5 linked regions of the Nothobranchius furzeri genome follow. The main gene of each other region encodes a partner of the protein of the gene in region 2 in a complex. Links are inferred from orthologs where the notes say so. Each region holds a gene or a part of one and is shown on either strand. Other genes may lie near its edges. The genes, in order: ppil2, dhx16, cwc22, crnkl1 and rbmx2.

What was found.
Region 1: dhx16 (region 2) and ppil2 share a complex: the UniProt entries of both Homo sapiens proteins name them as parts of the minor spliceosome. The link is inferred for Nothobranchius furzeri from reciprocal best matches to the Homo sapiens genes DHX16 and PPIL2.
Region 3: dhx16 (region 2) and cwc22 share a complex: the UniProt entries of both Homo sapiens proteins name them as parts of the minor spliceosome. The link is inferred for Nothobranchius furzeri from reciprocal best matches to the Homo sapiens genes DHX16 and CWC22.
Region 4: dhx16 (region 2) and crnkl1 share a complex: the UniProt entries of both Homo sapiens proteins name them as parts of the minor spliceosome. The link is inferred for Nothobranchius furzeri from reciprocal best matches to the Homo sapiens genes DHX16 and CRNKL1.
Region 5: dhx16 (region 2) and rbmx2 share a complex: the UniProt entries of both Homo sapiens proteins name them as parts of the minor spliceosome. The link is inferred for Nothobranchius furzeri from reciprocal best matches to the Homo sapiens genes DHX16 and RBMX2.

What each region holds. Positions count from the first base shown.
Region 1 is NC_091750.1:38,465,953-38,470,617, reverse strand, and holds part of ppil2 (RING-type E3 ubiquitin-protein ligase PPIL2), read right to left. Parts: intron 4,569-4,665; coding exon 4,517-4,568; intron 3,638-4,516; coding exon 3,546-3,637; intron 3,324-3,545; coding exon 3,234-3,323; intron 1,530-3,233; coding exon 1,454-1,529; intron 1,372-1,453; coding exon 1,211-1,371; intron 386-1,210; coding exon 310-385; intron 1-309. UniProt on the Homo sapiens protein: Has a ubiquitin-protein ligase activity acting as an E3 ubiquitin protein ligase or as an ubiquitin-ubiquitin ligase promoting elongation of ubiquitin chains on substrates.
Region 2 is NC_091745.1:60,406,458-60,411,122, forward strand, and holds part of dhx16 (pre-mRNA-splicing factor ATP-dependent RNA helicase DHX16), read left to right. Parts: intron 1-203; coding exon 204-384; intron 385-475; coding exon 476-532; intron 533-602; coding exon 603-857; intron 858-945; coding exon 946-1,179; intron 1,180-2,311; coding exon 2,312-2,503; intron 2,504-2,876; coding exon 2,877-2,987; intron 2,988-3,061; coding exon 3,062-3,177; intron 3,178-4,665. UniProt on the Homo sapiens protein: Required for pre-mRNA splicing as a component of the spliceosome. Contributes to pre-mRNA splicing after spliceosome formation and prior to the first transesterification reaction.
Region 3 is NC_091754.1:30,021,550-30,026,928, reverse strand, and holds the start of cwc22 (pre-mRNA-splicing factor CWC22 homolog), read right to left. Parts: upstream 3,344-5,379; 5' UTR 3,224-3,343; intron 2,290-3,223; 5' UTR 2,287-2,289; coding exon 2,232-2,286; intron 2,166-2,231; coding exon 1,954-2,165; intron 1,719-1,953; coding exon 1,441-1,718; intron 1-1,440. UniProt on the Homo sapiens protein: Required for pre-mRNA splicing as component of the spliceosome. As a component of the minor spliceosome, involved in the splicing of U12-type introns in pre-mRNAs. Promotes exon-junction complex (EJC) assembly.
Region 4 is NC_091742.1:17,430,204-17,433,922, forward strand, and holds the end of crnkl1 (crooked neck-like protein 1), read right to left. Parts: coding exon 3,688-3,719; intron 3,580-3,687; coding exon 3,388-3,579; intron 3,319-3,387; coding exon 3,259-3,318; intron 3,187-3,258; coding exon 3,106-3,186; intron 2,185-3,105; coding exon 1,945-2,184; intron 1,876-1,944; coding exon 1,774-1,875; intron 1,704-1,773; coding exon 1,455-1,703; intron 1,312-1,454; coding exon 976-1,311; 3' UTR 845-975; downstream 1-844. Other genes in the region: naa20 (N-alpha-acetyltransferase 20), read left to right, coding at 1-5, 103-193, 269-404, 479-624, 691-776. UniProt on the Homo sapiens protein: Involved in pre-mRNA splicing process. As a component of the minor spliceosome, involved in the splicing of U12-type introns in pre-mRNAs.
Region 5 is NC_091750.1:26,772,207-26,777,408, forward strand, and holds rbmx2 (RNA-binding motif protein, X-linked 2), read right to left. Parts: upstream 3,291-5,202; 5' UTR 3,185-3,290; coding exon 3,180-3,184; intron 1,974-3,179; coding exon 1,858-1,973; intron 1,677-1,857; coding exon 1,625-1,676; intron 1,542-1,624; coding exon 1,412-1,541; intron 1,284-1,411; coding exon 1,097-1,283; intron 1,023-1,096; coding exon 652-1,022; 3' UTR 573-651; downstream 1-572. Other genes in the region: ap4m1 (AP-4 complex subunit mu-1), read left to right, coding at 4,028-4,089, 4,163-4,248, 4,480-4,586, 4,691-4,787. UniProt on the Homo sapiens protein: Involved in pre-mRNA splicing as component of the activated spliceosome. As a component of the minor spliceosome, involved in the splicing of U12-type introns in pre-mRNAs.

The sequences.
Region 1 (4,665 bases), on a different chromosome or scaffold from region 2:
GACCTCTTATCTGTTCTTGGATTACCAAACACGCCCCAGCCGCATTAAGAACACTGAAGTAGGCCACCAGATTCAAACGCTGTCCTCCTCTGAAGTCTGAACCTACTAGTGTTGCATAACAGCGACTCCCTCTCGCTGCAGCGGTCCGCTCTCTGACAGGGTGACAACATTACCGGCTCTGCGAGCACGAAGAAAGCTCACACACGACTAACCAGGCCTCTCAGCACAGAGATTAACGCAACCAGATTAAGGAGAGATGAAGGCTTGTTTTTGCTGCAGAGGATCTATCTGTGTGAGATGTAGACTCGCCTGCTTCGTGTGTCGTTGCAGGAGTCATAGCCGTAGATGTGAAGGAGGCAGAAACTCTTCCTGTTGAGTAGTGGGCCTGGGGGGGCAAACACAAACATGGCTTTCAGGTCGGCTTTTTGCCCTCTTCAATACTAATAAATGGCGAGTACGAAAGGTTAAAGCTCATCCACACATGAGATATGATGTGACCTCTAAAACACCCACCGTCAGCTCTTTGACCTCTTTTATGACCTCTGCACAACAATGTTTCCTACTTCTACTGACTGAAACCCTGTTTTTGGTTTGGGTTTAGTAGTGGGAGGAACGCCGTTTACTTTTCTATTCTCCTATTGTAACCTGCACAGAAACCCTGCTAGCTGCACGGAGAGTGAATCAGAAATGGGCTTAGAAAAGAAAAGGTGCAGTCGGGAAAAGCAGTGGATGGTCTTTTGTGGAAACTGACTTTACTAATCCATAAAACGGGTCACAGGCCACTCGTCTCCCAGTCATCAGATGAGTTATGTAGCACACATTTGCCTTTGGTACCGGGGTGGATCAAGTCCAACAGGACGGCACATTGAATACGTTCCACTCTGAATGTTTATTTGAATACTGAAGGAAAAGGAGACAGTCTGGCTAACATGTTGGTAGCTGTAGTCTGGTTTAGTAGTTAGTAGTTAATCATTTACCACGACGCAACAACAACCCTAACCAGAACCAAACCAGCAGCTGTGACTTTAATCTGAGTCATCATATCTGAGAACACAACTGTTCACTTTTCATTCTTGTTTTTTCTTTAAATGAACAGAATCTCCCATTACTCTTTTCCTTTTCCCTCCACCATAACTCACAGTTTGGCGCCCTCTTGTGTCCGACTTTGAGCTTTTGAAGCAGAGTTGTTCTGCTTTAAGATTTGACCTACAGCATTTATTTTGTCGGTCTTCTTGGCTTCTGGCTCCTTCATGGTGGAAGCCAAGAGCTGATCCCCCTTGTAGTCTTTGTAAAGCTCAGCCAAGGTCTCCCTGGTTTCCAGGTTGGTAGTCTTCAGGTGATACGCTGGATCCTGCCTCGCCTTCTCCTCGTCTAAACGGCAGCAGATAAAGGAAAGAAGTATTTTACTCACAACAAACCAGAAATTTGACTCCGATCTCAAAGTAAAAATTACCTGCATCTGACATTTTCAGGTTGTTCTTCACATGGAAGAAGTTTGACACGTTGAATTTATCCAGGTTTGTGGGGTCCTTTAAAAACAGAAAGCAGATGTTTTTAAGGGCCTGCATCGTGCGAACTCCAGTCTTTGGAGCTTTTGACCGTGTTTTATTATTTCCTGATGAAAAGCAACGTAAAGCAGTTATTTTCCTGTCTCAGCTGCTTCTTTCCTTCAGCTCTGGAAAACTCTGCTAAGCTTCAGCAAAAGCCTGGGTAGAGCTTAGTTGTGTCATCACTGCCCCGCTCCTCCCCATCCAGGAGTCTCGGGTCTGGATCCCGCCGCTCCAGCGCCTCATTTATCAAACCTTACTAGAAACTGTCATATTTCCAAATTCAGGATGTTAGCCTGAATGTCGTTTACATACAGAAACGCACTCGATTAACCATACTTGGTCACACAAGGTCCTCTAATGCCACTTACACGCTAGCATCAGCTCCACTCTGCTCCGCCCACCCCAGCCTGGCCACATTCGTCCCCCACTGCCTTAGCGATGTAACTGAGCAGCACATGGGCGGTCTGTGGCCTGTGATGTCATGATCGGATCTCCGAGCACGTGGGCGGGACAAAAGAGCACAGAGGTCCACTCCACGGGGTCTTCATTATTAAGCAAAAGCAGCCCGAGCAGTCTTGCTTTTGGAGACTCAGCATCCTGCTTTGCTTTGCTGTGTGTGTGTGTGTGTGTGTTCCTCACAGCAGTGAGAGACAAAGTAAAATGGCTTCAGTCAGAGGCTCGTTAACACCACAGCATCCAGAATGATACTGAGTGCGTTTACATGCAGCCAGTAACCCTTTTAAAACCCGAATATTCACAATAACCCGGTTCCGCAGGTCCATGTAAACACCGCCAGAAACCCGGATATGCTCATAACCGGGTTTTTAAAAACCCGATTACTACACCTGGGGTAACCCTTTTCTAACCCGAGTGTTTGGTCGTGTAAACGCATATCGGGATATCCCCATCAAAGCGTGTGTTCTGCGCATGCTCTGTTCGCAAGGAATCTTGGTCTTTTGAGTAGCGAGACGTCTTGTATGCGCGAGAACTCCGGAAGTAAACAACAAGTTGGGAGCAAAATGGCGAGTCACGGCACAGCACCACACTTTTGGAGTGACAAAGAAACTAAAGCGCAAACAAATGCGGTCGCTATCTCTTCCGAACTGGGAAACATGTTGTTGTTTTCACGGATACCGGAACGAGAAGAACCGGAAATGAGGCATATTGCGTCTGGACGTAGTCCATACGTCCTGACGCTACCCCAACGTCCGCATTAAAATCGGGTTATGTAAGTTAGAGGTAACTCTTTTTATTTATGCTTGTAAACGGGTTATTCTGATCAACTCAGAAACCCGAATACCGACCTTAACCCGATCATAACCCGGATATAGGCTGCATGTAAACGTAGTCAATGAATTGTGCCGACGGGAAGCCCCTGCAAGCTGATTCTATCTGCCAATCGGAGGCTCCCCCTAAAAGTACGCGTGACTTTGAGCCAGCCAGTCAGCAGGTAGCGTGTTGGACCAGTTTGGCTCCAGGCAGACCGCCTCAGGAAGAGGGCTAAAAAGACGTCCGGTGAGAAAATCCAAATGAGAACACTCCCAACCCGGTCCAGGCGGAGTGGAGCCGATGCTAGTGTGTAAATGCCATAAAGCTCGAGGGAAATCCCTGCGTTCTTCCCGGGGAAAACAAAACCAACTTCAGTGGCAGCGAGATCGAGGCGCTGCAAAAGAAACGACTAACCTGGAGTGTGATGATGTCCTTTCTTGTGAAGGGTTCATCTGTCAGCAGATCTTTGAAACTCTTGGTTTTGATGTTTAGTTGCTCGACGGCCTGAGGAAACCAAACCAGGAACATCACATCATCTCTAATTTATTATTTGTTTATATGGAAGGTTTATGGATTCCTACCAGTTTCTTCAAGTTATTTAAAAATATTTGAAAATGTTCAACATTTCTGTAAAAACGCTAACCTTTAGGGTTTGAATAGGACGTAACATCTGTACATGTTTAAGGGAGAACTGTTTGTGTTTGACTATCGTTAAAGTTTACTGACCTCATAGGAAAACACATTTCCAGTCACCTTGTTGGCAACAATGTGGGAATTATTTGTGAAGACGTTGTAGAGAACAGGACAGTGATACTTTCCTGGAACACGATACAGAAATAAAAGAGAAAGCAGGGATAATCAGTCTCAGTTCGGTCAGATAAATGTTCGTCTTCTCTGGAAATCATAAAGTATCTAAAACTTTTGTTCACCGGTCTGAAGAACAACACGAATACCTTCTCAGTGGCCTAGTGGTAGCGTGTCCGCCCTGAGACCGGGAGATTGGGGTTCAAATCCTGGTGGGGTCATACCAAAGACTAAAAAAACCAAAAGGAACCCAACGCCTGCCTGCCTGCTTGATACCCCGCGTTAATGGGTTGGACTGGGGGGGTCAAACCACCAAATGGCTCCCGGGTGCAGCTGTCTGCAGCTCACCGCTCCCCCAGGGGATGGGTCAAACGCAGGGAGCAAAGGTCACACTAATAACTAACAGGTCTTTTCATTTTTAATTGAATTCAAATCTGACGAGCTTCGGCAGCAATCGTCCCGTTTTTAAGTTTCTCTGGTTAACGAGAATCTCGAGGCTGCAAAAAACAACTTTTGCTTTTGTTGTTGAGGTCCTTCACTCGTATTTTTAATACAGTGGCTAAGGAGGTACAGCAGGTTGTCCAGTAATCAGAAGGTTGTGGGTTCGATCACATCTCCTGCCAGAGAATTCTGCTGTTGTGTCCATGGGCAAGGCACTTAACCTGCCTTGCCAGCTGGTGGTGGTCGGAGGGACCGGTGGCGCCCGCGCTCGGCATTCTCTCCTCTGTCAGAGCGCCCCAGGGCGGCTGTGGCTACATCGTAGCTCATCCCCACCAGCGTGTGAATGGGTGTGTGACTGATTGTGTTGTGAAGCGCCTTGGGGGGCTGTAGAAGCCTAAGAAGGTGCGATACAAATACAATGCAGAGCTATGCTAACATGTAAACAGATTTACCATCGTTGTTCTTTGCAATTTTAAGTTTAATGAGGGATTTTGCTTCCAGTTTCTGTAAAACAGAAAAAAATCCAAATTAGTTAAAAATATCACCTGAATCTTCGATTTGACATTGAGCCTGTCTGACCCAGCAACCTTAAAAATGCCTA
Region 2 (4,665 bases):
GAGCAAAAACAAAGATAGTCAAGGCAACAAGGCTGGACTGAAAACGGGAGAAAAATCAGCCAAAGAGTAAAGAAAACATTTAAAAAGGTCGAAGAGCAGCTGATCCAGAACCACAGAACATTCTTCATCTCTACGATGTTTTAAATGAGGATCCAAGCTCAGGAACATGAACCTTCATCCTGGTTTGTTGTTTCTGATTTCAGGGGCGATTCTTTCCAGGAGGACCGAACGTCTGTTAAAAGAGAAGATGATGAGGAAGAGGAGTGGGAGAAGGAGGAGAGGGTACGGCTGGAGGACATCAAGGAGAGAGACGCATTTGCTCAGAGGGTGAAAGAGAAGGACAAAGAAAAGACCCGAAACATCGCCGAGCGGACGGACAAGAAGGTGGGAGGAGGAGGATGGCAGCATCCCGACCCGTTGTTTTATTTGTCATCTTCATCCGGTGGAAAATTTTCCTGCTGTGTTTCTCCTGCAGGCTTACGAAGAAGCTCAGAAGCGTCTGAAGATGGCTGAAGATGGTCAGAAGAACATGGTTGGTGCTCGTGTCCCGATCTCCTCCAGCTGCCGAGTTCACGGTGACTGTGTGACTTTTCTGCTTGCAGCTGCCAGAGTTGAGGAAACAATCTCGTCGGGAATATTTGAAGAAGAGGGAGGCTGAGAAGCTGGAAGACCTGGAGGCTGAGATCCGAGACGAGGAGTACCTATTCTCCGCGGATGAACGGACTGAGAGGGAGAAGAAGGATCTGGAACACAAACGCACCGTCTGGGAGTTGGCTAAAGATTACAAGAAGGCCGGTGCCAAGGAGCAGGAGGAGAGGAAGAACAGATACTACATGCCAAAGGAAGTTAGGAGGAAGGTAAGAACGAGGAGTGTACTGGGACAACGGGAAAAAACCAAACTGATTCCAGTTAAATGACCTCCTCCCGCTTGTGTCTGCTGAGCAGGAAGTTCCTCAGAAGGAGCTGGAGCTGGAGGAAACTCCGATGGAGCTGGGAGGAGAGCAGGGCCTCTGGGAGGAGGAGAGAATGAAGACAGCTACCCTCAGCTTCGGAGCCAAGAGAGAGCGAGAGCAGGGCATGAAGCAGGAGCAGGAGAGGTACCAGCTGGTCCTGGAGGAGGAGGAGATGATCGACTTCGTCAGCACAGCCATCACCATGAAGGGAACTCGGACCGAACAGGTGTGGGTGACTCAGCACCAACCTTTAGTTGTATGTGGCTCCGTTTGACTCTGATGTCGTCTTTGACCCAGAATGAGGCAAAGTAGTCGTCATAAACCCACAATCGGTTTAAAACGGCCTTTTTTCTTGAGGTTGTTTCATTAAAACGTTAAACTGTGAACTTTACCACGACACTTGGTCTGGGGACACTTCATTAGTAGAATCTCATAAACGTCCACTGTTTCTGGGCTGCAGCTGGCAGGAATCTGATTAGTTGAGACTTATTTTTGTCACTAGAGGCTTGAGACGTGTCTTGGACACGGAGAAGGGACTTGTGGATGTCTCTGATCTTGGGTTTTTCCACCAGAGGGCAGAAGACCTGAAGATCTAAAAACACGTGTGTCAGGAAGTGGCTGTTCAGTTAAAGTCCCATTAGTCGTCACACACTGGTGAATTTACATCTCTGCATTTGACTGGTCCCTGTGGGGCGCGGTGAGATGCAGCGGTGGCTGCCCATGGGAACTATTTGGTGATTTACGGTTCTTGTTTAAGCCCCACCCCCCTTTATTGAAACACATGAAGTGTTTTCCCTTAAGTGAAAACTGGGATCAAGGCACCTGCCCCGTGATGTCATGCTGATTGCGTTCAGGTGGGAATTCCCGACCCACATCCCATCTGGTTCCACAAACACAGCCCCGGTAGGTCTGCCTCGGCTCTGCTGGATGCAGAATGAAAACAGACTTCATTTAGGTTTTATTGGACTCTAAACACAAAAATCTGTTTTGGCATCAGATGAGATCAAAACATGATGCCATTTCCTGTTTCTGTTTGCGGTTTCTCTCTCAGGGACACGTCTCTGAGGGTTTTTATTTTTAATCCAGCCGCTTTAGTGCTTCACGCGTTCTGATGGTAAAGCTGAGCAGAAAACCAACATGTTTGTGTCTTTGTGGCAGAAACCTCTTATTTCTCAGAGCCAGATCAAATATAAACAGCAGGAAAACACAAAGTTCTGCACGTTTATGTGCACGTTTTATTTCAAAGCCACCATCATTTGATTGAATGAACTGAAAAATGAATATCTGGTCCGGTTGGCTGAGCCGTCCTTTCAAAGACTCGGCAGGAACACTTCCTGGATGGTTTGTGCTGTGTTCAGGATCAGGACGCGCCGGAGCTGTCTCAGGCGGAGCTAAAGAAGCGGTCCATCCAGGAGGTGCGGCGCAGCCTCCCCATCTTCCCCTACAGAGACGACCTGCTGGCTGCCATCCATGAGCACCAGGTCCTGGTTATCGAGGGGGAGACGGGCTCCGGAAAGACCACCCAGATCCCTCAGTACCTGCTGGAGGACGTGAGTGCTAAGATGTGTTCTGCTGAATAAAATGGACTTAAAATCGAGTCAAATAAAATGTTTTACTGACTAAAAACAATTTTAAGGATGTTTCCGCTCTCATTGGACATTTTACACATCATGTTTAAAATTTTCAGCTTTATTAATTAAAGAATTCTTTTTTGGGAGATAGTTCACGGCTACTAAATAGTCAGTGCTGCTAGCTTACCGTTAGCTTTACCCCAGCGTCTTTAAATAGAAACTTAACATACATCAACAAACATAATCAACATATTGATGACTTTCAAGGTTCTGTTTGTCCCACCTGGAGATGGGCAGATAGACCTGCAGCCATCCGTCAGACCCGATAACGTACCGTATTCCCGTTTCTCAGGGCTACACCAAAGGAGGGATGAAGATTGGCTGCACTCAGCCTCGGAGGGTGGCGGCCATGTCAGTGGCAGCCAGAGTGGCAGAGGAGATGAGTGTGAAGCTCGGTAATGAGGTGAGTTTGCTGTGATGAAGATGTCCCCGCGTCTGATTTACTGTTTTAATCTGGAGCTTGTTGTCCTCGCCCAGGTGGGCTACAGCATCCGCTTTGAGGACTGCACGTCGGAGCGGACGGTGCTGAAGTACATGACCGACGGCATGCTGCTCCGAGAGTTTCTCACAGAACCCGACCTGGCCAGCTACAGGTATTACAGGCCATTTAAAACCCTGACCTCTGACCCTAGATTAAGGGACTACACAGTGCATGGTGGAGCAGCTGGTCCCATCAAGAGGTTGCTGGATTAACCCTCCCAATGTCCTAATGGGTGTGACCCCGCGAGGAAAGTTGACCATTGAGCAGGATCGATGGTTTATCCCTTGAGGTCCACGTGGCAGGGGTGAGGTGGTGCTCACTCCTCACCCCTGCCACATGGACCCAACGAATAAACCATCAACCCTGCTCAATGGTCAACTTTCCTTGCAGGGTCACACCCATTAGGACAGTGGGAGGGTTAAATCCAAGCTGCAGCCGTACTTTGTGGAGCTGGGATCTTTGCTTCTGCTAAATAAGGAACATAAACATAAAATGTGCTCTGTAAGTGTTGACTTGTTAGCTAAATGATGTATTTAGACCTAAACAAGCGGAGCACATCAGCATCACAAACCATAATAGGCTAGGCAAGGCAAGGCACCTTTATTTATATAGCACATTTCAAACACAGGGGCAATTCAATGTGTTTTACAATTATCATTAAATGGCACAGCAACAACAAACAGGAGAAGACAAATAACATAATTTAGAGCTAAAAGGAACAGACAGAATTAAGGTTGAGCAATTACATCACAGATTACAGTGGAGACGATGCAGCATAACAAACAAGTCATTCAAAGGCTGATGAGTACATGAGGGTTTTCAGTTTTGACGTAAACAATACTAGAGTTGGGGCAGATCTGAGGTCATGGGGGAGCTGATTCCATATGTGAGCAGCATAGTAGCTAAAAGCATCTTCATCCTGTCTGGTTCTGACCCGAGGTTCTACCAGCTGATTGTTTCCTTAGGATCTCAGAGCCCTATTGGGTGTATATACAGGAATGAGATCTGACATGTATTTTGGTCCCATGCCATTGAGTGATTTATTAACTAGTAGGAGCACTTTGAAATCTATTCTGTAGTTTACTGGTAACCAGTGTAGGGATCTAAGAGCGGGAGTGATGTGCTCTGTTCTCTTGGTTCTTGTTAAGACTCTAGCAGCAGCATTCTGAACAAGCTGCAGTTGCTTCACAGCTTTTTTGGGAAGACCAGTTAGGAGACCATTGCAATAGTCCAGCCGACTAGAAATAAAAGCATGAATAAGTTTCTCTAAGTCTGGTCTGGACATGAGACCTCTTGGTAGTTGATGAAGGTGATAAAACGCTGATTTAGGCAAAGACTGAACCGGTTAGTCCCACACAATTTGCGAGCCTGTCGAGGAGTACGTTGTGGTTCACTGTGTCAAAGGCTGCACTGAGGTCGAGCATCATCAGGACAGATGCTTTACCTGTGTCAGTGTTGAGACGAATGTAATTTAATACCTTGATCAGTGCAGTCTCAGTACTGTGGTGCTGTCTAAAACCTGACTGAAAACCATCCATAATATTACTTGACTCCAGAAAATTTTTTAGTTGGATCATTGCTCCTTTTACATAATTTTCCC
Region 3 (5,379 bases), on a different chromosome or scaffold from region 2:
CTTGATTTCACCATCTGAAATCACTGCCTGGGTTCCATTTTTCAAAGCCTCGATTGTCCTGTAATTTAGATAAAAATACATCTTATTAGCAAAAGAAGAATACAAGCACATGTAAGAAGTTTTGACAGTGTCACTTGAAGAAGTCCGATATTCATTTTAGATATATATTTAAGGCCTCTAACTCCTGAATGATTTGCAGCTAAATGTGCTTAAATCCGGTAATATTAATATAAACCATACCCGATCAAAGCAGTCAGTGGACAAAAATATCTTTTTTTTATAAGGTTAGGATTATTCTGAAACAGAATCAGAAGGAGGGAGGGAAGCGGCTACTATTTCAAAGTTATTGTATCTGTTGCAGGACACCTGATTTGTGCAACCACAGTAGAATGACCCAGCACAATACCGCACGCAATAACTTAAAAATATTTAGAGATATTGAAAGCTAAGCTTGTACAGAAAAAAATATTTTTGGGTGCACAGGACCAGTTCCAGTGTGAGCCAGATGCTGAAAAATAAATTCATAAATCTGTCTTTTCTGAAGTTTCACAAATCAGAGGAAGGTTTCACATATCACAAACTATGTTTTATGCATTCTGCTACTACGAGCCCAGAATAATCTAAAACAGGTTTGAAGAACGTATGTGTTGCAGTTTTTGAGCTAGAGCAGAATAAAAATGGTCTGAGTAGAGAAAAATTGGGTGTATTAGCCCTTTAGCCATTTCCCGAATCGGAAGCTAACTTTAGCCTCGTATGAAAACTAGTGATTGAAACCACTTACAAATCTCTGAAAATCTACGCTTTTTAATTAAAAAAGGGTATTAATAACGTTTCAGTCAAGTCAGTATTAGAAATCGTGGTCTTTATATCATATCTAAATTATATATAAAGTTTATATTATTACTTTAACTGTTTTAACAAACAGGGAGACGAGAAAAATCAAATAGCTAAGTTAAAGCTAAGCTACAATTGCTGATAGCTTTATTTATGTAGCTTTTGTGTTAGCTTGTGAACTCCCTGCATTCGTTTTAAGACTGCGTGTTAATATTGATACAATTAGCTATGAAACACGGTGCCCTTTGCAATAATTCTCTGGTAAAGCTTTAAATGCTATAGTGCCTACATTTAAGAACTAAGAACGGTTGCAACAATTAGTTAATTTCATCCTTACCTTACCTCTATGAAACCAGCCGAGTATGGTTGAAACAAAAGCGGCCGCCAAAAAAGACCAACTTCCGGCCGAGGTCTTTCGATCGTCGATTTTCCGGTAAAAGTAATGACACGCCATCTTGTTCTCGCTAGAAAGTTCTTTCGGTGGCACGCCAGCTGATGTCTGCAGCCAGATCCTACTCAAATTTAGTGAATCTTCTCTAGTAAATATGAAAGTTGGTAGGTAGATGTAGGCATGGTGTTAATGACACGTCCTGAGAAACTTCTTACCGACCAAAACGTCTTCTATCAAAGCGTTCCGTGTTTCGGTCTCTCTCTCTTGACCTGGATCTGTCTCGTCCTCTGGATCGAGCTCTGACTCTTTCTCTGGACCGGGACCTGTCTCTCTCTCTGGACCGGGACCTGTCTCGCTCTCTGGACCGGGACCTGTCCCTCTCTCTGGACCGGGACCTGTCCCTCTCTCTGGACCGGGACCTGTCCCGTTCTCTAGAATGAGATCTGTCTTTTTCCCTGGATGAAGATTTGTCCTTCTCTTTGGATCTGGATGTCTGGAAAGAAAAAAAAAAGGATTTTAAGGATGTTATATTTTGATCATCGCATGTAAAAATGATCTGAAACCTGAAGACAGAAGAAAATGAAAACATGAGACAAGAAAAATAAAGTCCTACTGGACTTCTGAAATATCTTTTTAGTGAGTTATTTAGTTTTTCTGCTTTAGTTTACAAAGCAGAATTAAAGAGCGTAATAATTGAAAACACAAAAAGAGCAGGGCTTGATTCTTACATTTATCTGAGCCACACTGCTCCTAATCTTCTGCAGTGCATCTTGATGTTCCTCCTCATCCTCACTGTTTCTGCTGTCGGAGCTGCAGGGGGCAGGACTCTTAGAGCCTGTGGGACCGGACTGAGGAGAGGATCGCTTTTCGGGGTTTCTCTCTGCCACACCGGCCTGTTGGGGTATCGCTGCTGCTTGATTGGACTCATCTTCTGATGGCTCTGTAGACAAAGAAGATGAATATGTCATTTCTGGAAAAACATAAAGAAAGAAACTGTGAGTGTTACCTTTGTGTTCTCTATGTGCAGGACTGGGACTTTCACTTTTGGCTGAAGAGTCCATTTACTAAAATAAAGATTAGAGTAATCTGTTAATTTGTTATCCAAACTTTTCTTGTTTCTAATAAACAGAATGTAAAAACTCCTTTGTTGTTTGTGCCATATGAAATCCTACTGGTCCTTATTCTCCGATAACAGGAAAAAATGTTAGCAAATATAAACGTTAATGTAAAATGGAAAGAATCTCTTTGTCAAGCACTGGTTGATTAACTAGAGAAAATAAAAACGGACCAGTCAATATAAATGACGTTTTGACTTTTTAAGTGACTAAGCATTTCATCTTTTCCCAGAAAGAAAACCTGGATTTAAAAACCATCGAACTGACATTAATTCATTCTTTATCGACCTTTAGGCTGCTTAAAAGTAACTAAAAGAAACTGGTATTTTGGTTTAATTTGCTAGTGTTTATTCTATGGATATACGTTTATTTATATGTCTTATTAAGTCTAGTTGTTTGGATAATGACGTTGCTACCTGAAACAAGACGAGTAAAAATATTTTTGCGACAAGCGATTAAAAACTTTATTTAATGACCCTTAAGCATAAAATGGACAACATGAACGAAATAAATTCTGTCACCCCGTTTCAAAAACATGTTAGACGTATTTTCGCTGCAGTTTTCAGCGGAGTTGTCTTATTCAAAGATATGATACAAAAACAACTAAGAAACCAACTCCTATTATTGGCCTTGAAAGGAAGAAATCATTCAACGGGTTTATTTATACGTCCAACAGGACAACGCTGAGACGATATAATAACACACCATAACTGTGTGTGAATAAACTTTGTTTTAGTCGGAATTTTCTGTTGTCGCCATGTGTCTTAATGCGCTAAAGCTAGCTCTGTCGCTAGCGCTATATTGTTATTTGCCAGTCTGCCATCTAATCCTTTATATTTTTAGATTTTCAATAACTCTGCAAAACGATGTTAACCAAACGTACCTTCCGTGCCACTAATATCCAATCTTCTTTAGATATTTCCGACTTTCCTAAATCACTGTAGTTCGACTAGCGGAAACCGTCTAAACATTAAACCATATCCGTTAGGTCAAAGGTTACTTCCGGGTTTCACAATAAAAGTTTCAAGTTTTGCAAGCTGTTGCCAATTTTCCAGTTACGGTGAAGCAAGAAAATTCACCCTCTCAGAAAAATACATATAAAAAGGTAAAAAAATAAAAAAAGAAAGAAAAAAAAGAAAGAAAAGAAAAAAGACATGTGAACACAGTTTATTTTGATGTTTTAAAGTTGTGAAGCATTAACTAAATTATAATAATAAGAAGAAGAATCTTGGTACATGTTAGGATGTAAAAAATAATATAGCTTTCATTGTTCAAGTTTGTTTATTTATAACTAATTACATTGTGGCAAATAAATAAACAAATATATAAACTTATCTTCAAACTGTCTGTGCTTTTTGTCCTAAACTCCAGCCACTGAGCTGAATTCACCATGACACATTACATCAGTCATGTTCTGTCTAACATGGAGAAGGGTCTTCTTTCTTTTAATAATCAGACATCCTTCTTCATAACACAAGTAGTTTGCAGTGGATCAGGGTGATCTGACCTCACTTGACAGGTTCTGTATGCAAAAATGAAAGATTAATATATTAGGCTATTGTAATGCAAGCTTGTAAATGATTTTCACAACTATTCAGGAATTCACTTTAAGAAGGGTGACAAGATGGAACACATAGAAAGAAAGAACAAGAAGAAGAAAAAAAGAAGAAGAATGCTTCTTCTTGTTCCTTCTTGCTCCGTCTTCTTGTTCCTTCTTCTTCTTCTTCTTGTTCCTTCTTCTTCTTCTTCTTGTTTCTTCTTGTTCCTTCTTCTTGTTTCTTCTTGTTCCTTCTTCTTGTTTCTTCTTGTTCCTTCTTCCTTCTTCTTCTTCCTTCTTCCTCTTCTTCTTCTTCTTCCTCCTTCTTCCTTCTTCTTCTTCCTTCTTCTTCTTCTTCTTCCTTCTTCTTGTTCCTTCTTCTTCTTCTTGTTCCTTCTTCTTCTTCTTCTTGTTTCTTCTTGTTCCTTCTTCTTGTTTCTTCTTCTTCTTCTTCTTCTTCCTTCTTCCTTCTTATTCTTCTTCTTCCTTCTTCCTGTTTCTTCTTTCTTCATCTTCCTTCTTCCTGTTGTCCTCCATGGTGCGCAGTAGGACACAAGGTTCAATAAAGCACCATTAGAAAGACACCCCAAGTCATGTCCTCCATCATTAGTGCTTCCAGAAATTGGAAGCATAGCACTCTCTTCATGCTATCCCCACTGATGTAGAGTGGTTTAATGACACTATCTTACACTAACTGTGCCATGCTGAGGCCTACAGCCAAGTCTGAATCTCTTCAAATGAAGATGTGTGGAATTAGTCTGGATGTCAACCCTGACATCAGATCGACAACAGCTGTGGGCTGACCAGCCATAGGAAAGGATACATTGGCCTAATTCCACACCAAATGAAGTTAATCCTCATCCACCCACACCATAGATACTATATTCTGCACACAGATTGAACTTAAACTTTTTCTGATTCTTAAATCTGAAATTGATTTGTTTATTTAATTAGATCTAAATTAATTTTTGTATTTAATTTTGTGCTGTCACATTATTTTAATGTCCGTGCTATTCTCACAAACGGAAGGCACATTGAATTGCCTCGGAGTATGAAATGTGCTGAACAAATAATTACAGGCACTACGTGTAACGTGCAGATTTACGATTTACAGGTGCTGGTCATAAAATTAGAATATCCTGACGACGTTAATTTTTTTCAGTCTCCCAATTTGGAATAAGAATAGCTTTTTAGAATACCACCAAATTAAATCTGTAGTAAAACAAACATTTAAGCTCAATAAAATAGAATTGCAAACACCACCAAGGGTATAAGACTTCTATAATCCCAAACCCCCCAAACTACTGTCTAAAGTATATAAGACACTGTCCAAAATAGACGATAGAATAGTAATCCCTATTGAAAAATGGGAGGCGGATCTATCAGTCAGCTTTGACCAGAACTTCTGGTCCCAAACTTGTTTAAAAACGTTTAAAATGATCAGACACTCCAATTTACAATTAATTCAGTACAAAATTCTACACAGAGTACACTATACAGGT
Region 4 (3,719 bases), on a different chromosome or scaffold from region 2:
AAACCGTATCCTGACTCAGCAGAACGAACCCATGAGAACGGCTAATTCATGCTTAGGTTCAGCTGTTTCCTTGCTTGTTTTTCTTTAACCTTTGACCTCCAGTATGGGATCCCGTTCTACCTGCAGTACCTGGCTCACTGGCCAGAGTATTTCATTGTGGCTGAGGCTCCGGGTGGCGAGCTGATGGGCTACAGTGAGTTCTTCAGTTTTCTCAGTGAGTTGATGACGTCATCGCTGCTACAGCTTATCTGATTGTTCCTGTCACCAGTTATGGGGAAGGCGGAGGGATCTGTAGCCCGGGAGGAGTGGCATGGCCACGTCACGGCGCTGTCGGTGGCTCCAGACTTCAGACGGCTCGGCCTCGCTGCCAAACTCATGGAGATGCTGGAGGAGATCTCAGAGAGGTTTGTGCTGGCAATCAGACGGAAGAGCAGACGTCCCTCAGAGACCTGATGAGACACGTGTCCTTGTCCTGCAGGAAGGGAGGGTTCTTCGTGGACCTGTTTGTGCGAGTGTCCAACCAGGTGGCAGTGAACATGTACAAGCGTCTGGGTTACAGCGTCTACAGGACTGTGATTGAGTATTACTCGGCCAGCAACGGGGAGCCCGATGAAGACGCCTATGGTGTGTGTGTGTGTGTGTGCGCGTGCGTGCGTGTACATATCTCTGACCAACTGTTTCTTCCTGCAGACATGAGGAAAGCTCTGTCCCGAGACACAGAGAAGAAGTCCATCATCCCACTGCCTCATCCGGTCAGACCAGAAGACATCGAATAACAGCTGACCCTCACCATCATCACTTCCTGGTTACTCGTCACACCCAGAGACTGATTATAGAAAACACGTGGCTTCATGTTTTTATTTCCTGTAAATTTTCAATGAACATTTCCGAAAAATATAAAAGTGTGTGTGTGTGTGTGTGAGACAAATGAGCTATTTTAGTTCTTTAACTGAAGGAAAACCAAGGTGAAGTTTCTCAAGGAGGACTCTGGTCTTTCTCCTCCTTGTTGCGCCGGCTGCCCTCTCTCTCCTCCTCCTCCTTCTCCTCCTGGCTGCTCCCGTCGGATCGGTCACCGTGTGTGTTCTGCTGCTCCGTCTCCATTTGGATGCTCTCATCCTCCGGCTGCTTTTCAGGAGTTGCAGGTTGGTGAGAGGAAGATTGTTCCTCCTCACCTGCTGAAGACTTGTCTCCATCGTCCCTCACCTGCTGCCTCTTCCACATCTTGGCCATAGCGAGCAGCTTGAGGTTGGGCTGGTTGGCAGCATCTTCTGGGAAGATGTAGTCATAGTATTCTTCCCAGCCTGCGTCGGACTGATGGGAACAGAAACACCTGATCAGCTGAGAACATCTGGACCATGAATAATTAAAGGTAACGGCTGGGGCTTCACCACTAACCATTGGACCACAACAGGGTTTTGAACCGACCACCACGCTCAGATGAAAGTATTCCTTACCCCGTCTTCAGCTGTCAGCTTCCTCCTCTTCTTCACCTTCTCAGGCAGCAGCTTCCTGACCCGGTCCCTGGTGCTGTCGGACCCAAACTCCTTCTCAAAGTCTCTCCAGGACTCCAGCAACATCAGCCGCTCCTCTTTCTCCTCACAGCTCCTCATGCTCTTGTTGGCCTCCTCGTAGATCTGGCGACACTTCAGCAGCCGCGTGGGTTCATCAATGGACAGCTCAAACTTGGCAAAACTGATCCAAACCTGCAGGAGCAGAACTGGGTCAGCGTGGCCTTGGGAGTTCGAACCGGTATCTGGTTAGACCCAGTCTCACCTTGACATGCTGAGTGCGCTGCAAGAGCCTCCTGTAAAGGTTCCTGGTGTTCTCAAACTCCTCCTGCTCGATCTCAAAGTCGATGTAGGACTTCCACAGAACCTGAGAAGAGAACAGGGTCAGAGGTCTGAGTCCCGTTTGTTCTGCAGCATAAAACTAAGCAGTCCAAACCTCAGGCATGTCCAGTCGTGGCTGTCCAATGGCAAGCTCGAAGATGGCCCGAGCTCGATCCATGTCTCCCAGAATCGTCTCCAGTTCTGCAAACTTGATCCAGGTGGTGCAGTTCTCTGGGGTGAACTCCAGGTACTTCTCGTAGAGCTTCCTGCAGCGATCAAACTCTCGCAGCTGCAGCTCCAACTCGATGTACCCCTTAAACAACTTGTTCTTGGGACATTTCCCGATGGCCGTGCCCTGCATGGGGGTGGGGGGTTTAGCCTGATTGATACTTCTCTGTGAGCTCCACAACGGAGAGATGCACACGGAGTGTCGGAAAGGTTTTCACATTCGACTTTCTGCTCAGGCAGCGGAGTGTTGGAGAGCGATTCCACGCCAGGCCAACAGAGGGCGTAGCGCTGTTCTGTGGTATCCTGCCACCATGACCCCGTCCCCTATAGTGTATTTACTAACACGGACTAATGTGTCCCTAACCTCAACACCCACGTTTCCCGTGGTTTCAGGCCACGCTTGCTCTGTATTTTGTACTCCTTCACTCACGGGTGAATAACGTTCATATTTTCGGACCTTATATTATATTTATTTAAAGAGCAAGACACCCCCTACCAGAGTATTACTCCACTCCCACTTCCTGTTTGAAAAATGCATTAAATGCTGTTGCCTAGCAGACTGAGAGGGCGGAGCCGCTAACAAATACGCACACACACAGGCTCACAACGACATTGTGACATCATATGGTACCAGCTAACATTCTAGGGTACCTCTTAGCCAATAGCGATGGCAGATTTAAATTCAACTACAGAGCAGAGTTTTTACCTGACAACGGCACAACACTGACAGTTTTAGGCAGAAAATTTAAATTTTAACTAAAATGCACTAAAGTGCTAAACTATTGACTACACGTGTCTGCAGCACGATTAGACACGCATTTGTATAGTTTATCAGAAAAAAAAAGTTGATTTGGGGGTGACTTGCTCTTTAAACATTTATAGGGAACCTTTGGAACAATCAGCAGCAGCTGCTCAGCTGAACGTTGGGCACGAGTGGGTGTGTAGAAACGCAGGTCGGCCAGGTAAGAGGGTTGGGGCAACGCAGAAGTATAAATCAGGCTTAAGGTTGTGTGGTTTGGTTTTACAAGAGTGCAGCGCCAAAGCTCACCATGATCTTTCTGGAGTTCTGAAGATTCTTTTGTCGGATTTCAAACTGAGCATGAAGCAGCCACATCTTAGCAAATGTGAACTGAAAGAGAAGAGAAAGCACGTCACAGCCTGGTGGTGGTGGGGGGTTACATCATGGTGAAGTTCTAAAGACCTTCTTGTGAGGGATCAGCTCCAGACAAGCCTGGTAAACCTGCCTCGTCCTCTCCGGGTCCTGCCGACACATGTCACCGTTACACCGGTCCGTCAGCGCCCTCTGCAGGAACGCTGCAGGACCACTGACCTTGGTCTCCAGCTCCTCGTACAGAGCGTAGTTGATCCACAGGTAGATGTAGCGCCTCCAGTGTCTCTTCTCCTGCAGGGGGGGCACATTGGCAATGGCTCGTTCGTAAACCTCTCTCACCGTGTCGGCGTCCGCATCGCTCTCCACCAGCCGCAGGTAATCAAACCAGGCGTCGTAGTTGTGTGGGTTAGCCTGAAGGACGAGAAGTTGCTGAGTTTGGGCCACACAGCAGAACACCTGCCTCTGCACACCTGAGCCCAGAACCAGACTTCATCTCTGACCTCCAGACAGGTGAAGTACCTTCACTTCCTCTTCGTACTGGAACCTCCGTT
Region 5 (5,202 bases), on a different chromosome or scaffold from region 2:
ATGACAACGCCCACTTTCATGGCATTTTTCAACACTTGACTAGGGGTGGAGTTACGTTTTCTGATGGTGTGCAGTCCCGCTTTACATGGAGGAGTGTCTCCGTCATGGAGGAGTGTCTCCGTCTGTCAGCAGAAGGGTTTCTGCCCAGCAGTAGAAACATTATTCCATCATGGCACCTGAGAGGAAACGGAAGGTGGTCCGTGAGGATCAGTTTGTTCTTTTTATGCCGTTCCTTTCCTTTTTCATCCCGTTGCGCTCAGTTTCCGCTTGACCCATCATAATTTAGTTTCTAAACGATTCTCACATCGTTCCTTTGGTTTTCCGCAGGTTACATGTCGCATTTGTTCAACTGAACCTTCAAACATTAATAACAGGACGTCAACATCACGGAGAACGCACGCGGAAACTTCAGAGCGGGCCCTGACGTCGGTCTGCCTGCGATTACGCTGATGTCCACTAGGTGGCAGCAGACAGTTTGGGGAATGCGCCGAAATGCTTCACGAGTTCGCCAACGTGTTGCTTTGTAAAAGTCTCACCCGTCCTCAGGTGTTGGACATCAGACATGAAGTGTATCAGGTGTTCAGGTCAGATTTTAATACGAAACATTAAAACACACACACACACACCATGGATCGGCCAATCACAACCTGTCTATTTTCTATACGGCTCCCGTTTCCTGTTGTCTCCGTCTTTTCTTCTGTCTTCGTCCCACTCCCTCTCTCTTCGTCTTTTGTCTCTGTCCATCTCTTGTCTCCTATAGTCGTCTCTTCTGTCCTTGTCTCTGTCCACCTCTCTCTCACAGTTCCTCCACTTGTCTTCATTCCTGTCTGTCCCCTTTCCTCTCTCCGTGTCCCTCGTCCTCTGCCCTGCAGGCACCTCCTTGTGGTTGTACTTGTCGTAGGCGGCGTCTTGCTTCTCCTCTTTCAGTCTGAAGACTGCAGGAGGAGGAGAAGGTGATGAAGAGGGAGCTCTGCTCTTCTTCCTCTTCTCTTTCTTTTTTTTCTTCTTCTTCTCTTTCTTATCTGAGACAGAAAAGGGAAATAAGTCCACCTGGTCCTAGATCAGGTGACTTTCAGGTAACAGGAAGTGACCTCACCTTTTTTGGGCTTCTTCGCAGGTACGACGCACTGCTCTTCTTCCTCAGAGGAAGAGGGGACAACAGTAGGACCTTTGGGAGCACAGCCCTCTTCTCTGAGATGTTTGGTCACATCGTCCATGTCCTCGTTGTCTTTGGGAGGACGATAATTTTTAACGTGATCCACGCGGATAGTTCGACCTTTAATCTGAACGTTTAAACAACAACAAAAAGATTTTAGCTAATTGTCTCATCAGAGACCATGTTGATGCCGCTGTGGGCCAGCAAGGAGCGGCGCTGGGTCCACACCAGGACCTGGTGAGGACAGGAAGTCACCTTTATGCCATTGAAGTTGTCCACTGCCAGGATGGTGCTCCTCTGGTCCTCATAGCAGATGAAGCAGAACCCTTTAGACTTCCCCGTCTTCTTGTCTCTCACCAGGTTGATGTTGACGATCTCTCCGTACCTGGCAGGTTTGTCGAGAGGAGACAAACGTCACTGTCATGTCAGCTATAACGTAAAGCAGGTGAGACGTAAGCATGTACGTACTGGGAGAAGACACAGATCAGGTCTCCTTCAGTCAGCTCGAAGGGGAACCCTCCTGCAGGAAACGAGACCTCGTAAGCATCATCAGAACCAAACAAACCCACTTCAACAGTTTCATTCATGAGATCCCTTTTTATGTTGTTAATGAACAGAAGCAAATCGTCTCCAAAAGCCCAAAACACCAAACTCATCCCAACGTCTCCACGTGTGAAGGGCTGGGTTTGAGGAGTTCTCACCGATGAAGATCCAGGCACTGTCCCGGTACTCTGTGTGCCAGGAGACGGTCTCGCTGATGCCGAGGTCAGCCTCGCGCTCATTCAGCTCGTTAATCAGCTTCACCTTCGTTAGAGGACTGAAAACACACAAGTTGCTCAGTAAATCGTCCCGTTAGGGACTGGACCTGATTCTGACTCAATTGGAGTTTTATTGTGAAAAGCTGTCAGGACAATTTAGAAAGAAAAACTGCTTTTTGTTTGGACTACAGAGAAAAAGAGTCGAGCTTTTCTATTCAACCCCAACCTTGAGCCTGACCCTAATGACCCTTCAGCAGCAGCAGGCATAATCCTGTTCCTCCAGCAGGACCACGGTGTTCCTGGTCGAGCTGCTCCGTTTCACTTGTTGGCTTGATTTAAATTTGACATTTTAATTCTGAGGGCTGTTGCCTTGCAGCAAGGAGGTCCTGGGTTTACATCCCAGCCCGTCTTTCTGCATAGAGCTTGCATGTTCTCCCTGTGCATGCGTGGGTTCTCTCCGGGTACTCCGGCTTCCTCCCACAGTCCAAAAACACGACTGTCAGGTTGATTGGTCTGCCTAAATCATCCTTAGGTGGCTGTGCATGGTTGTTTGTCCTGTGTGCCTCTGGGCTGCCCTACGATGGACGATGGACTGGCAACCCATCCAGGATGTACCCCGCCTGCATGCCCAGAGACTGCTGGAGATAGGCACCAGCCCCCCAGAACCCTGTGAGGATATGCGGGTTCAGACAATGGCTGGATATACATGTAAATGTGTCCCCTTTGACTTCCGGGGTAAATACGATCGGAGTGGTGTGTTTTATTAGTCGAATGATCTTTTTTTTTGCAGCAGACGTAGAAACATTCATGAGAAAAAGATAACACCACATATGACCAAGCTTGTGGTCCTGTCTTCATCAGCAGTTGACATAAATTATTAGTCAACTTTATCAGACACACTGGTCTAGAATAAAACACGTAGTAGAAGGTCAGGGGTGTAAACAAAACAATAGCCAACCTACACATGATCAAATGTCTTCTTGAAGCATCAAAGATACATGCTACATCCCAAACACAACTGGGTGTTTATGTTTTATTACATGCTCTCTCTGGTTTTTAAGGAAAAAATGTTAAATTATCTGTTTTTTGAGCAGAATCCGATCGGCTACGAGTAGGAGCTAGCTAACAGCTAGCATGCTGCACCAGGATCAGTCATCAAACCGCAGAATAACGAACTCGCTCTTTTTACTTTAACTACACGACAAGAAGTAGAACAGTGTTGTGTCGGTGGTTCGTGTCATTTATGAATACATAAATGTACTTACTTCATAGTTAGTTACAGAAATTAGGGCACAGATCAGACGTTTTATTTGTTGAGGTAGACCACTTCCGTTTGGTTCGTCTCTGCTGCCCTCTGCAGTTTGGAGATCTAAACTACAAGCGATCATTAAACATGTGCAGATTATTTCTCTCGGGTTTATATAACACACCCAAACCATCTAGGTTGATGTATCTGAAGCAATTTCTTACGTAGCTATGAGTTCACTCATCGTGAAGTTAATAAATATAAAGTTATTAATGCAATCCTCATTCAACCTCCTGTCCACAAGGGAGCGCTGTGGGGCTACATGCTAACGGAGCCGTGTCGTAAACCGTAGCTATAACCTGAATATAAACCCAAAACCTTTCTGTCAGGTTAGCTTTGTAACCCTGCAGACAATGAGCTTATCTGGTTGTATTCAGCGTTTCTGAAAACTGCGGCCCTGTGAGTTATTAAAGTTTATCTATAGCTTACTGCTAGCCAAAGCAGCACCAGCCGTGCTTTCATTTCCTTTGAAGTTCTGTTAAAAATAGCCGCAGTAAGATCTGGTTCTTCCAGGTAGACCCCACACCTTCCGCAGGCGAGTACAGCAGCTGTAACCCCTCACAGATCCACCTTTCCGTTAGCGGAACTTCTGTAGTTTTATCTGCAGGTTCTCACCAGTACACAACAGTGCTGTTAACACTTATAATACAATAAATTAGATAGGATTTGGCTTTATTCCAACTCTGATAAACATGTTGTAACGTGACGGAAGTGGTCACTTTTATTAAATGATCAATAAGGTGTGATATTCCATATAAATATTAGTTATCATTATCATTAATCTTGTGCTTGTGATCTTCCTTTCAGGAGGATGATCTCTCAGGTCTTCATCCTGTCCTCCAAGGGGGACCATCTCATCTACAAGGACTGTATCCTTTTGCTTCCAGTCCCGTGAGACTTTACCCTATCAGGAGTTAGAGCTTAACCCAAGCCAACAATCAGACCGAGGCCAAAGAGGAAACGATGTGGTCAACATCTTCTATGAGAAGGTCACAGCGCTGACTGGAGACCAACCTCTGGTCGTCACGGTAACGCCTCCACAGTCTGGGACACATTTAGACCCAAACTGTTGTGTTGTTTTGAGTTCTGATTTGACCCAAACACGAAGAGTAGGTCAAACCAGAACCACTAGATTAGAAGTCACATCAGGATGAAGCAACGATGTTTCGGCGTCTGTTTACTGTCTGAGGAACTGGACTGAAACCATGCAGATGATTCGAGAGTCAAAAGTAAAACAAACCTGATTCTGTGTCCCGCAGAGCGACAGAGACCTGCACTTTGTACATGTCAGACATGAAGGCCTTTACTGGGTCGCCACGACGACAGCCGACTCCTCACCGTTCACCATCATCGAGTTCCTCAACAGGTTTGTTCTGGTTCTAAACAGAACCTTCAGATGGAGCTGCCTGCTGGTCACCTAGATGTCAGCTGATAAACATCTTGACTGAACAGAACCGGTCCATGTTTCAGGCTGATGGCGCTGGTCAGGGATTACTGTGGCAGACTCTCTGAGAAGTCCATCCAGGAGAACTTCGCTTTGATCTACGAGCTGCTGGATGAGGTTCTGGTGAGTCTTTAACCATGGGGGTGCTACACCCCATCAGGAGCCTCTGACCCTCAGGGTGTCACAAGTCCCGCCTTATATCTAAAAGGTCCACTCTCTCACCTGGCTGTGCTGAAAGTAGCTATTTGTAAGAATCCTACAGTGAAACCATCCCAAAAGTGTCTCAGTGTCCCAGTCATGTTGGAAGGAAGGATGACCGGAAACAGCTGGCTGGGGGACTCAGATTTCTCCTTTTAAAAAAACTAAAGAGGGATGTAGTTACTGTTTACTCTCTGTGAGGTTGCCATGTCTGCCCTGAGCTAACGCTACAGTGCTGGCAGTAATTCAACAACAGCTTCAGAGTTGTTTAACTAAGCAAAGCCAGTAAACAGGAGTGACCCAGAAGTTATTTCTTCTACTCCTAAGAAGCCACGTGTAA